2 linked regions of the Medicago truncatula genome follow. The protein of the gene in region 1 interacts with the protein of each later gene in a pairwise test. Links are inferred from orthologs where the notes say so. Each region holds a gene or a part of one and is shown in the gene's direction. Other genes may lie near its edges.

Region 1 (6,757 bases):
TTAAGAAAGATTTAACTAACCCGTAATCTATGGTCGCTAGCTCGACATATCACTATTTAGTTATCTGAATATAAGCTAACCCTTAACTCGACTGTCATTCATTCTAGACTAACAATTTAGGTCATTTTATGTTTGCGTTTGGTTGTGCGGCGGTGGGAAGAATTAATTTTGGTAAAATTGATTTTGGTTAGAAATCATTTTGACTAAAATGATTTGTATTTGGATACATATGTAAAAGTGAATTATATATTTGTGTGTGAAAATTAATTGTGCAATTAAAAGCTACAAATCTTGACTACGACCAGAAGCAATTATAAAAACAAAATCGATTCTACTCGACAACAACCAAACATATCATAATCAACTTCGATCTTTCTAAAAATGGAACTAATAAACACCAATTTTCTCTTCAGTACAGATATCATGTCAGATTATCGACCTAGGCTAAGTAAACATGTCTCATATCCATTGCAATAAATAATTGACTTTTGAGGAATAACATTGACAATTGAATTTTACATGTACAGTTGTGGTTTGTCATCTTCCTCGACCAATATAATTGTACAAATATGATATCCAAAATTAAAATAGAAAACGAGAATTTACTAACAGTGCATGTGATCTCAAAATAGAAAACAAGAATTTCCTAACAGTGCATGTGATCTCTATTCATTACCTATATACAGTTGAACATAATGAATAGATACGAAGAGTCCAATAATCAGGTCCCTTGAATGAGAATTAGGAATCAAGGGTTAGAATACCTTCTAAACATACTTTCTTTAATCTAGTGAGACATTTTAAGGTTAAAATCCGAGCTAGAGAGTAGGGATCACATAAGAATTACAATAGACAAGATCTCAAAAATGGTGTACCAAACATGAGGTAGAAATAATGGATCTAGGGGCGGTTCTAAGGCCCGGCGACCCCGGGTACTCGCTCGGGCTCCGGGCCAAATTTTTTGCAATTTCTTGTGTAAATCCCTATGAATTTCTTATATAAACCCCTTATAAATTGGGCAATTTCTTTACATTTTTTATTATTTGCTTGCAATTTCTTATGTACGCCCTATAAATGTGTTGCAAATTTTTTTTTGCCCGGGCTTTACTATATTCCTGGCTCCGCCACTGAATGGATCATAATTGAGTAGAATCACACATCTAAACCATGTACAATAGTTTTATCTAAACCATGTACAATAGTTTTTTCATTCAACACCCACTTTTTCAATTCCCAACAATCATCTCTCTTATTTAACATTCATTCAACTTTTACCCTCAGCAATGGTTTTTCATTCAACACTTTACTCCACCACTTTTTATTTCTTATTTAATTTTATATTTTGTTTTTATAATTACATAATTACAATTATCGATTATAATTAAATTAAAAAAACACTTAACAATTTATTTTTGGAGAAAGACCAGCGCACCTGTCAGGCGTGTGTAGTGCACTCTCCCTACAAACCACTTGTTTTGCGCCACATCATCTTCAACTTGGCCCACCATTCTCCTATTCAACATGTTGAATGCATTCAACATCTCTCTCCTCCACATCATCATTCAACATACCATTGGAGCACTTCCACTTGTTGAAGGTTGCTTTCAACTCAACACCATTGGACATGGTCTAAGAACAGTTGAATTTCTGTTTCTTGCCCTTGATTTACTTTGCTTAGAAAAATGCAAGTTGGAGAGAGATAGAAAGAGTGAGAAGGATACTTATTGAAATTAACCGACAGCAATCAAAAGCTTGACATATCCACACAATTGACACATATATGATCATTGGTGACAACTCTCTTTGATACTTTATTCTCTCTCTTCATCTCTCTCTCTCTCTCTCTCTCTATATATATATATATATATTGTTATTGTCCAATTAGAAGGGAGGAAAAATGTTGTTACCCAAAATCATTTAAAATTGATTGTCAAAATATCATTCATCTTTAATCAATAAGTCTTCCATTGAGGATCAAGTAGTTTTTGACACTCGCTCTTCTATGCCTACTTCCTCAAATCATTGAGATACGTATAATTGGATTGAATCAAACCAAGTATAATGTTGGATGAGATTGTTCTTCTAAACCTAATCTAAACTACACTATAAACACTCCATTGTATCTGACATTGACACATATAATTCCATTGAATTATAAAAAAAAATCAAGTTATTAACAATATCGACGTGTCATTGTTTGTATCTTGTGCTTCATATATGGTAACCAGCGAGGTGACACCATGCACCCTCCACCTCACTTCACCTCTATTAATGGTTTATGGTAGCTCATGTGTTGGCATGGGTTGGAAATTGGAAGCAATGGTCTTCGAAAGTACACACACATCATGAATTAATCAGCCTTTTTTTTTCAACTTTACAGTGTTTGCTTTAAGACCAACTGGAACAACCTGCAACCCTTGCAGCTGTACGTACTTTGATCCCTGCATCACTGCTTCTGCTTCACATCTCGTCACTCATGAAATAGTAAATAGTAACCCCATTCTTTACTATCATTGTTTCCCCATTAATGTTTTTACTGTTTTTACGTCCTTTTTTTGTCTGTTTCCTTAACGAGCTAGTCTCTCTTCTGTATTACAAACAGCTAAAAACCTCAGTGAGATTTTCTCTGATTCCGTAACTCACCACTACAGTATCAGACACAAGAATCACTCGTGAATCCTCTGCCATCTACCTTTCTTCATTGTAATTCTCACCAAAAATAATTAATAATCAAATTTAATAATTTACCTTTAATTGTTTGGATTGATCACTAGTTACATTAAATCATAATAATAGGCAATAAGGAAAAGTAGCTTGTTGTTTTTCGGGTTACAAACTTACATGCATGCCTTTCACTGACCAGGACCTTACCAACTTTTCCTTATTATTTGCCGCCCTACCCTAAATATAATCATAATGATTGAACATTTGAACTAAATAACCCTAAAAAACCCTAGTATTCTTCATTTAATTAATTTGTTGTTGTTGTTGTTTAAGTAGGCTAATATATATAGGCTTTTACGACAACCCAAAGCATCAATTCATACTTTGTACAACACACAAGCATGCATATGACACATAAGAGCAAGCACAAAAAAAAAAATAACAGTCAAGTCAAATCAGAGGTCAAACCATATACACACAACACAACACAACTGACCCCATCTGGTCGGATATTATTATGGGTAACCACGTCTATCTATAGCCAGTTAAATTAGTTCGGTTTGTTTTGAGGCATTCCAGTTTCAAATCAAATACAGTTCTTAGTCTCACACACAACAAAAGGAAGTCTCCAACAAGCCCTAACCAGTCTTGGGAATAACACTATTTCCTTATAGTTTTGGAAAAACCATGTCAAACAAAGGGTAGTTTTGGAAAATCACGTTATCTTTCTTTCTCCACAGTAAATTTAACCACACCCTCACCACCTTTACGTTTTCTATATCTCCACCTAAACAGTACCATAAATCTTCCACTTCTCATAATTTTCCAAAACCTAACAAACATACACAAAGAAGTTAAAACAGTTTCATTGCTTACCATGGATCCCGACGCATTCACCGCCAGCCTATTCAAGTGGGACCCACGTACCGTCCTACCAACAGCTCCACCTCTCCGTCCCCAACTTCTCGACTACGCAGTCACCCCATCAACTGCTCCATCACCTTATTATCCAGCGAGATTACCAAGAGAACTTGGAGGTTTGGAGGAACTTTTCCAAGCTTATGGAATCAGATACTACACGGCGGCGAAGATAGCAGAGCTTGGTTTTACAGTGAGCACGCTGGTGGACATGAAGGATGATGAGCTTGATGACATGATGAACAGCCTTTCCCAGATTTTTCGTTGGGATCTTCTTGTTGGAGAGCGTTACGGCATCAAAGCTGCCATTAGAGCTGAACGGAGACGCCTTGATGAAGAGGAAATTAAACGCCGGGGTCTTCTTTCCGGCGATACCACCAACGCTCTCGATGCTCTCTCTCAAGAAGGTGCACAGTCATTTATAATAATTGACTCAAATTATTCTACTGTTATATTAAAATACTGTTCTAATATATTATTAAAGTCAACTATGATATTACAAATTTATAATATGAACCTCACTTTTTTTTCCTTTGTATATGAAAATGAACGATTAAAAGATGTATTATGTTGAAAAAACGGTACAATGATAGAAAAAATTATTTTAGAATTGACGTTATGAAATTGATAATTACATTGAATGCATGATCACTTATACATTGATCCTGTGGTAACAAATATAATCAAGTAGTAACTAATCACAAATAATTTGTGACATGACAGCCTTATAGAATATTCAATTCTCAAATGTCAACTATATATAATTAATATGCTTAGGTTTGTCGGAGGAGCCGGTGGTGCAGCGAGAGAAGGAGGCGGTGGGAAGCGGAGGAGGGAGTACTTGGGAGGTAGCTGTGGTGGAGGAGAGGAGAAAGAGGCAGCAAATAAGGAGGAGAAGGATGAAGATGAAGGGAAATGGTGATCATGGTGAGAATGAAGAAGGAGACGAGGAGGAAGAAGATAACATCAGTGGTGGCGGTGAGAGACAAAGAGAACATCCATTCATTGTGACAGAGCCTGGGGAAGTTGCACGTGGCAAAAAGAACGGTCTAGATTATCTTTTTCATCTCTATGAACAATGTCGTGAGTTCTTGATTCAGGTTCAAGCAATTGCTAAGGAACGCGGTGAGAAATGCCCTACCAAGGTATACTATACCATGCCCGAACAACATTTTTCATATATATTTTAATTGAATTTGTTGTACTTTCTCGTCATATCTATGTGGATCTATCTTCTTCTGAATCTGACTCTGACTTGAAACCAGTCAGATTCCTGTGTTGTGTAGTAGTGTATAGTTCCTTCACGAACCGTTTGAACAGTACTTTCTTGCCGTGACACGTTCATCCGAACACGTGACGACTCAGGGACTCTCCTAATGGGTCCCATCACAACTTCCCATTCAACTGGGATTTTCATATGATCATATATCTCCGTTCCGTACACTTTGTTTGTATTTATTCATTTATTTATTTTCCGGTCACAAACTAGAACCATAACAAAATAATGCATGCATTTTATTATCCGGATCTTAGCTTACCCTCATAATCAAAATACATATCCATGAAATTTTGATACTACGTTGTGTATATGGGGTCTACTTATAATAAATAAATAAATGATACATGATTAATAACTTTGAGTGAGTGTAGGTGACAAATCAGGTATTTAGGTATGCAAAGAAAGCTGGAGCAAGCTACATAAACAAGCCAAAAATGAGACACTACGTGCACTGTTATGCATTGCATTGTTTAGATGAAGAGGTATCAAATGAGCTTAGAAGAGGGTTTAAGGAAAGAGGAGAGAATGTTGGTGCATGGAGACAAGCATGTTACAAGCCACTTGTAGCAATAGCTGCACGTCAAGGATGGGATATTGATGCAATATTCAACGCACATCCTCGTCTTTCAATATGGTATGTGCCAACAAAACTTCGTCAGCTTTGTCATGCTGAGAGGAACAGTGCTGCTGCTTCAAGCTCCGTCTCTGTTGGAACTGCTCACCTTCCTTTTTAAGTTAGACTTCAAATTCTATCACGCTCGCATGCATCTTTCTGTACTTTGATGATCAGGAATGGATGGATCATCGATGTATGTGTTATTTCTAGGATTATTATTTGTGTAGTACAAGTGGAAATGTAGAACCTTCCTCATATATATCGACTGGAATGTAGTAATCTCATTTTAGCTAGAGGACTTTTCTTAGTTATTATTGAAGGAAAAAATTAATATAAGGTTTCTTTATGCACCTCATAAATAATTTGCTTGCTTGGGTTACAAATTGATTCTCTGCGGTAATTTTTTTAAGCTTTCACGCAATTACAACATGTAAATATTAACTAGATGAACTTTGTCATAACCCTAATTTCTAGCATATTAAAAAAATATAATTAATTTTTTGATGTTAATACAAATAAGCACAAAGGTAAAAACTTAATAAAAATTGGAGAGAAATAGTAATTCTCAATAGAGAAATGATATTTTAACAACCATTTTTTTACAATTTTTTTGACAACTTTTTCTCTCATTCACATTATCTTTTTACTTTCTCTCTCTATTGATTTGGTTTTTGTGCCACTACCTCATTTCCTTTGTAAAATTTTGGTATATATGGATGTTCAAATAACACAACTCTTCTCAATAATATATAAACAGAAGTTTAAGACTATGTTTGGATTGGTGGTATGGGATGGAATGGTATGGAATGAGATTAAAGAATGAGTGAAGTTTAGCATGGGAAAGGCTAATTTTTCCCACTATGGGAAAGTTAGTTTTTAACCATTAGATCAAATCAAGAACACATCCTTACCATACTCCCTCATCACTAGATTTTGTAATTTTATTATTTTAAAACCATTTTTTAAAAACAAAAAATATATTTCGAAATTAAAATAAACATATAAAAATAAAAAATTAATTTAAAAATATGGAAATTAATTTTCCAAAATTTTAAAAAATATAAATAATTTTTTTGAAATAAACTTGTTTTCAAAAATTTTAATTATGATTTTCGAAGATTTAATTAAGTTTTTTGAAAAAAACTTGCTCAAAAAAAAAATTGGAAAATTAATTTCCAAAATTAAGTTTATTTTTTATTTTTAAATGTTTATTTTAATTTTGAAATATTTTTTTTGTTTTTAAAAAATAGTTTTAAAATAATAAAATTAAAAAATCTAGT
Region 2 (6,347 bases), on another chromosome or scaffold:
TTTTTTTATCGAATTCACAACAATATTTATAAACAATCGCTTTCCTAAATTCATAGACTTTTTTATCGAGCGGAGAAAATAAATCCATAAAAGATACGTTTATTAGGAGAGGATAAAACTACGAGAGTTTACACATATTTTTTATTTTTTTAAAAATACCCCACAAAAGTAACACCTCAGACCGTGTTAAACTTGGAGAAGATTTATAATTAAATTTGTTGGCGTGTTGAAAAAATACATATTGTAGAAATTTCACATTATCTTAGAATTATAAAGAGTGAGACCAAGACTCTTGTTAGAGTTCGGGGAAGTGTCGATAGCAACAACAAACCAATACTTCAGGAGTATGAGACAAGAAGACATCACATCTCTATCTAAAATCTTAACATATTAGGTATATGTTGCACTTCTCTTATCCATCCAATATTTTTTTAGGCGACGTGAGACAAACAAATCACATTTGAACCCAATAATCTCACCCTAAGTGTGAGTTTCTACCTCCTACACTCATCATGATCCATTTCTGCTTTGCCACTAAGTCGAATCAAAGGTTACAATATCACTTGTTAGGAAGTCTCAAGGAGTGTTGAGAACAACAAATCAATGTATTGGAACTACAAGAGATATCACATTTTCACCTAAAACTTTTGAGACATTAAATATATAATCATCTCATTTTACACATTCAACTTTTTTCTCATGAGACTAAAGAGTCTCACTTGAACTAAACAATCAAATTATATGAATTGTAGATTTAATCATATGTACAACCTTAAATGTACAAACTTAGCGGGTAAGTATAGCGAACACATCAAGTAACAATAGTATAGCCTTTTTAATAAGTGTAATCTAGAGGTAACATTGGTTCTATTCAAGATTTTATGCGCTTTGGCCTATGTGTAGCCATTTTTGCTGCTAGAGTTGTCATCCATATCATATATAGAATGAACTGTAGTGGTACTTCCTGTTTATGGCTTTTTTGTCGCTTTGTGGGAAATGGATTTCACATTTCACCAATGGTGTCATTAATAAATGAGCAATGATATTTGAACAATTATTTGTTAACAACTTCAATGACAATCTCCTTTCTCTCTTCTTATTGATCATAAACAATGGAGAGAAAAAAAAAAAAAAAAGAGAGAGAAAGAATATAATATAAGTACGAGAGAGAAAATTGTATAAAAATTGTTAAAAAATAGTTGTATAAATATCATTTCTTTCGGCAAATAAACCGACTAACTATTTTTACCTTTTTAAAAATAAATAAATCTGACTCCAATATCAGAAAAACTTTCAATATAATCATCTCTCATCAAGCTAAACAATAATAGCCCCAGTTTTATTTTTTTGACGAAGCTAAAATCAACATGATAAGAAAATCTTAGCACAAAAAATACCAAAAAAAAGTTACAAATTACATAGGTCAAGTCAACTGATCCACCACTAACAACAAAAACATAGCAAAGCCAACACCAGAGGCTAGATTAAAACCAAAACTCCAAGATAATTAACATCCACCAAACAATAAAACACTCAAACGAGAAACAACACTAATCCCTAAACAACGTAAGGGACAAGATCACTACCAATTGAGTTCATAATTGAAAGCTTTCACCTAATATTTTAACCAACTTATCTAGAATAAGACAACATCACACTCCTCAAGTCAAAAGTTCACATTGTTCCGAAGTTTTTTTTTTTTTTTCCAAATAGATCAAATAACAATAGATCTCTAGTTATAACTTTAAAGCATTGCATATATAAACATTATTTTTATATATAATTCTTTAGTTTATTCTAATCAATATGATATGATATGCAGGAGAATTTTCTTTAGTATTTTATCATTTTAGTTCAATTTTAATAATTTATGTTTTATTTTCTATTTAGATTCTTGGTCCATTAGGGTTTTTATTTTCCTATTTAAACTTAACAGTTGTACTTTAAGAGTCAACTTTTATTCATTCAACCATATTTTAGAGAATTTTCTCAATTTCTAATGGATTCCGAAACCCTATTTTCACAAGTTTGTCGCTTGCAAATTTGTTTATTTTCAATCTAGGTTTAACGTTTGTTAGCATATGCTTATGACTGTTTCACAATATCAAAATCAATCTCTTACACTTGAATTATATATATATATATATATATATATATCGAATTAACAATTGAATTATTATGTATCCTCCAAAAAAAATTTGAATTATTATGTATAATATTTTTGGCAAAGTTATTATATATAATATAAAGGGCCTATATTTTTCCACTAGCACTAGCACTAGCATTCCCATGTAGCATATAGTTGAGTTGCACTTTGATCAATTGCACATGTCTTTCTCTTCTGCAAACATGTCCTTCCTTCCCAACCTCGGCTTTGACAAAACAACACTGAAATGATAGATGCATTCATCAGAAATAATCACTTCCTCTTTCTTTATTCTCACCTCCTCAACTACCAAAAACAAACCATGAGCAAGAAAGCATTAATAAGGAAATTAAAACTTTTTCTATTATATAAAGAAATAACACAAGGCTCATTTCATTTCTACTTCACTCTTGTTGTCTATTGTTTGTTGTTATTATATATACAGTTGTCCCCACCCAATTCATTGCCACTTTCTAACTCACGTCCTTTGTTCCATTTATGGTTATGCTGCATTCACACCTAAAATCTTCTTCAAAATCTTCCTATATCTACCCCCCCCTTTCTCCAATATCTCCTCCAAATCCCACTGAAAATGAGGAACAGAATCAACCATCTCCTCCCAGGTGATTTTTAGCAATCACCACCAACTATCCTTCCAAAACCTAGCTACCTTTTTCACCCTTTCCCCTCTTAGGTGCTTCCCTAAAAGCGTTCTTTTCCACAAACATTTCACTTCCTTTTCTTTTTCACCAAAAACAACCAACAATCTATAACCTTTCCTTTATCATTAAAGCCAACCCTAGCTATCATATATCTTAAATGTTCCACTATTTCCTCTAATAATAAGAAAGAACCATATACAAATTTATATTTATATTTATGGAAGGTTTTCACCCATCTATGAATATGAGTATGAATATGAATATGAGCATGAGCATGAACCCTTCTTTTTCTTACACTTTCCCTATCACTGCTACTGCTTCTGGTGTTAGCACCAACATAACTACTGCTCCTTACACCACTACTTCTACTACTCCATGGATGAACAGCAGAATATGGAGTAAGCTTCCACAGAGACTACTTGATCGCATCATAGCTTTCCTTCCTCCACCAGCTTTCTTCCGTGCACGTTCTGTCTGCAAGAGATTCTACTCTCTTCTCTTTTCCAACTCTTTCCTTGAATTATACCTTCAAGTTTCACCTCGTTTCCACTGGTTCATCTTCTTCAAACACAAAACCAGATCAAAAACTCACATCTACAAAAACAGTAACAACATCACTGATAGTACTTCCTTTGAAGGCTACCTCTTTGATCCTAATGAAATGACGTGGTACCGTATTTCATTTGCTTTAATCCCTTCTGGTTTCTCACCATCTTCTTCATCCTCAGGTTTAGTCTGTTTTGTTTCTGATGAATCTGGTCCAAAAACAATGCTTTTAAGCAACCCTTTACTTGGTTCTATAGCTCAGTTACCACCAACTTTGCGTCCAAGACTCTTTCCTTCCATTGGCTTAACCATCACTCCATCTTCCATTGATGTTACTGTTGCTGGTGATGACATGATATCACCTTATGCAGTTAAAAACTTAACATCTGAAAGCTTTCACATTGATGCAAGTGGGTTTTATTCCATTTGGGGAACAACCTCTTCATTACCAAGACTCTGTAGTCTTGAATCTGGTAGAATGGTATATTCAAATGGAAAATTTTACTGCATGAATTGCAGTCCTTTTAGTGTTTTAGCTTATGATGTAGCAACAAACGCTTGGTTCAAAATTCAAGCACCTATGAGAAGGTTTTTAAGGTCACCTAACCTTGTTGAATGCAAAGGGAAACTCTTACTTGTTGCCGCTGTTGAAAAGAGTAAGCTGAATGTGCCTAAAAGTTTGAGGGTTTGGTGTTTACAAGGTTGTGGAAGTGTTTGGGTTGAAAGTGAGAGAATGCCACAACAACTTTATGTTCAGTTTGCTGAAATGGAAAATGGGAATGGATTTGAGTGTGTTGGGAATGGTGAGTTTATTGTGATTATGATTAAAGGAAGTGATAAGGGTTTGGTTTATGATATTGGAAGGAAGAGATGGCAGTGGATTCCACCTTGTCCTTATGCTGGTTATGATGGGTTTGAGTTGCATGGTTTTGCTTATGAGCCTAGGTTGGCTACACCTGTTATTGCTTTACTTGATCAATTGGCTATGCCACTTCCACAGTTTTAATTCATGGATGCTTAAAATATTGGAGAATTAATTGGTTGGTTGGTTTATATCAATGTATAATGTATAATTATGATGGTATGATATAAGTATGGTAATATTAATATATATGAATGAATGACTTATAAACCTAGCTAGCTAGTCATGAAAAGTGCATCTTCAGTGTAATACTCCGTTAACTTGTAGTAGTAATGATCCGTTTAATAACTTAAATTGTTCCTCTTTTGTGGTTTGGAATTTAAATGGAATCATAATTGTAGTCCCCATTTGCAGTTATCTATCTCCATATATATATATATATATATATATATATATATATATATATATATATTTGCACTGTAGGTTGTAGGCGTAGTAATTTACACTCAATCAGATTTGAGAAAAATAAGATGATTGTATACGGAAATGGATTGCTTTGGACATTCTAGATCTAACACCTTATTAACTACCGGTAACATTTTTATTGAATAAAACCCATGTCACTTTTACACTTTAAAAATGGATCCCACATAAGTTTTATGTGAGTTTCATTCAATAAAAAAATGAGTACTTAAAATAAGGTTAAAATGCACTTTTGGCTCCAAAGTTTCTAAAAGTTGAAATTTTAACCTACTATTTTGGAAATAGCACTTTTGGCCCCCTAAGTTTTAGCTCCTTTGCAAAACCATGATCCCCTTGATTTTGACTCGGTGAAAGCTGACATGTTGCGTTTTTTTTTTTGTGCCACGCTCGATATTGTTAAAATTTAAATTTTGCCAACACTTATTATTAGAGTTAAAATTAATAAAAACCCATAAAAGGTGAGATTTCTCACGTGCCCGTTCCATTCCATATTAAAAACCGTAGAAACCAAAATCCAACTGGGAATTAGGGTTAAGTCCAAACTTTAAATCTCAATCGGAAGACTTTCCTACATTGCGGCACTGAGCAGCATCTTCGAATCGGAAGAATTCGCAACCCTTACCTTCGCTTATGTCTTCTTCGCATCTTTGACTTTCGCATCAAATTTCTTCGCAACTCTGACCTTCGTGTTTGCTTTTGTTTTTCCCTTTGGAGACTGTTTCGTCATCTTCTTCAATTAACCTTGCTGGTTCGATAAAGATGAGAGTGAAATTTGGAGTTTGGACTTAACCCTAATTCCCAATTGGATTTTGGTTTCTACGGTTTCTAATATGGAATGGAAGGGTCATGTGAGAAATCTCACCTTTTATGGGTTTTTGTTTTAATTTTAATTCTTTCTTTTTTTTTGACAAAATTTTAATTTTAATAATATCCAACATGACACAAAAAAAAAAAACACGACATGTTAACTTTGACCAAGTCAAAATCAAGGGGGCCATGGTTTTGCAAAGGAGCTATAACTTGGAGGGCCAAAAGTGTTATTTTCGAAATAAGGGAATCAAAATTGCAACTTTTGAAAATTTAAGGGATCAAAAGTACATTTTAACCTTCAAATAAAATGTTTTCTTTCTCGTGTATACCCATGAGATAGTAAAATATGATCTATAACCATTCAAACTAGTTTATAATTAGAACCATTCAAACTATTTAAATTTCTCATGTATTTCTCTCTCTTAGTTAACGGTGAGATCACAACTCTACTTGGACTACAATTGATAATTTATTAACTATCACACTTCTTAAGTTTAAAGGAGATACTTTTATTTTTTTTTCAACAAACTTATACTCAATTTTTTCTTCGAATAAACTACTCAACATAGTATTTCTCAAAGAATATTTACGACCCAGGGAGGTGGACTTTTTTGAATTACATGTTAAGTAGGTTTGACTTTGGTACTAAGTTGCGGACCTAGATTTGTGCATCTGTTTTCTTCAAGAGCCTGTATGTCTTGGTGAATATGAGCTCTACCCATGAGATTAATATCTAAAGGGGTCTCAAATAAGGAGACAAGTTAGCTCCATTCCTTTTGGTGGTGGAGGGCCTTATTACTATTTTTTACTATCTAAATGCATTTATTACTATTTTTAA

The links. The genes of interacting proteins can lie anywhere in the genome.
Region 2: the proteins of protein UNIFOLIATA (region 1) and protein UNUSUAL FLORAL ORGANS interact in binary tests that used the Arabidopsis thaliana proteins (3 or more experiments, as listed by UniProt). The link is inferred for Medicago truncatula from reciprocal best matches to the Arabidopsis thaliana genes LFY and UFO.

What each region holds. Positions count from the first base shown.
Region 1 is NC_053044.1:48,439,375-48,446,131, forward strand, and holds protein UNIFOLIATA, read left to right. Parts: upstream 1-3,171; 5' UTR 3,172-3,541; coding exon 3,542-3,989; intron 3,990-4,359; coding exon 4,360-4,727; intron 4,728-5,232; coding exon 5,233-5,595; 3' UTR 5,596-5,770; downstream 5,771-6,757. UniProt on the Arabidopsis thaliana protein: Probable transcription factor that promotes early floral meristem identity in synergy with APETALA1.
Region 2 is NC_053045.1:46,786,276-46,792,622, reverse strand, and holds protein UNUSUAL FLORAL ORGANS, read left to right. Parts: upstream 1-2,590; 5' UTR 2,591-3,025; coding exon 3,026-4,360; 3' UTR 4,361-4,548; downstream 4,549-6,347. UniProt on the Arabidopsis thaliana protein: Component of SCF(ASK-cullin-F-box) E3 ubiquitin ligase complexes, which may mediate the ubiquitination and subsequent proteasomal degradation of target proteins. Considered as a meristem identity factor required for normal growth of the young floral meristem.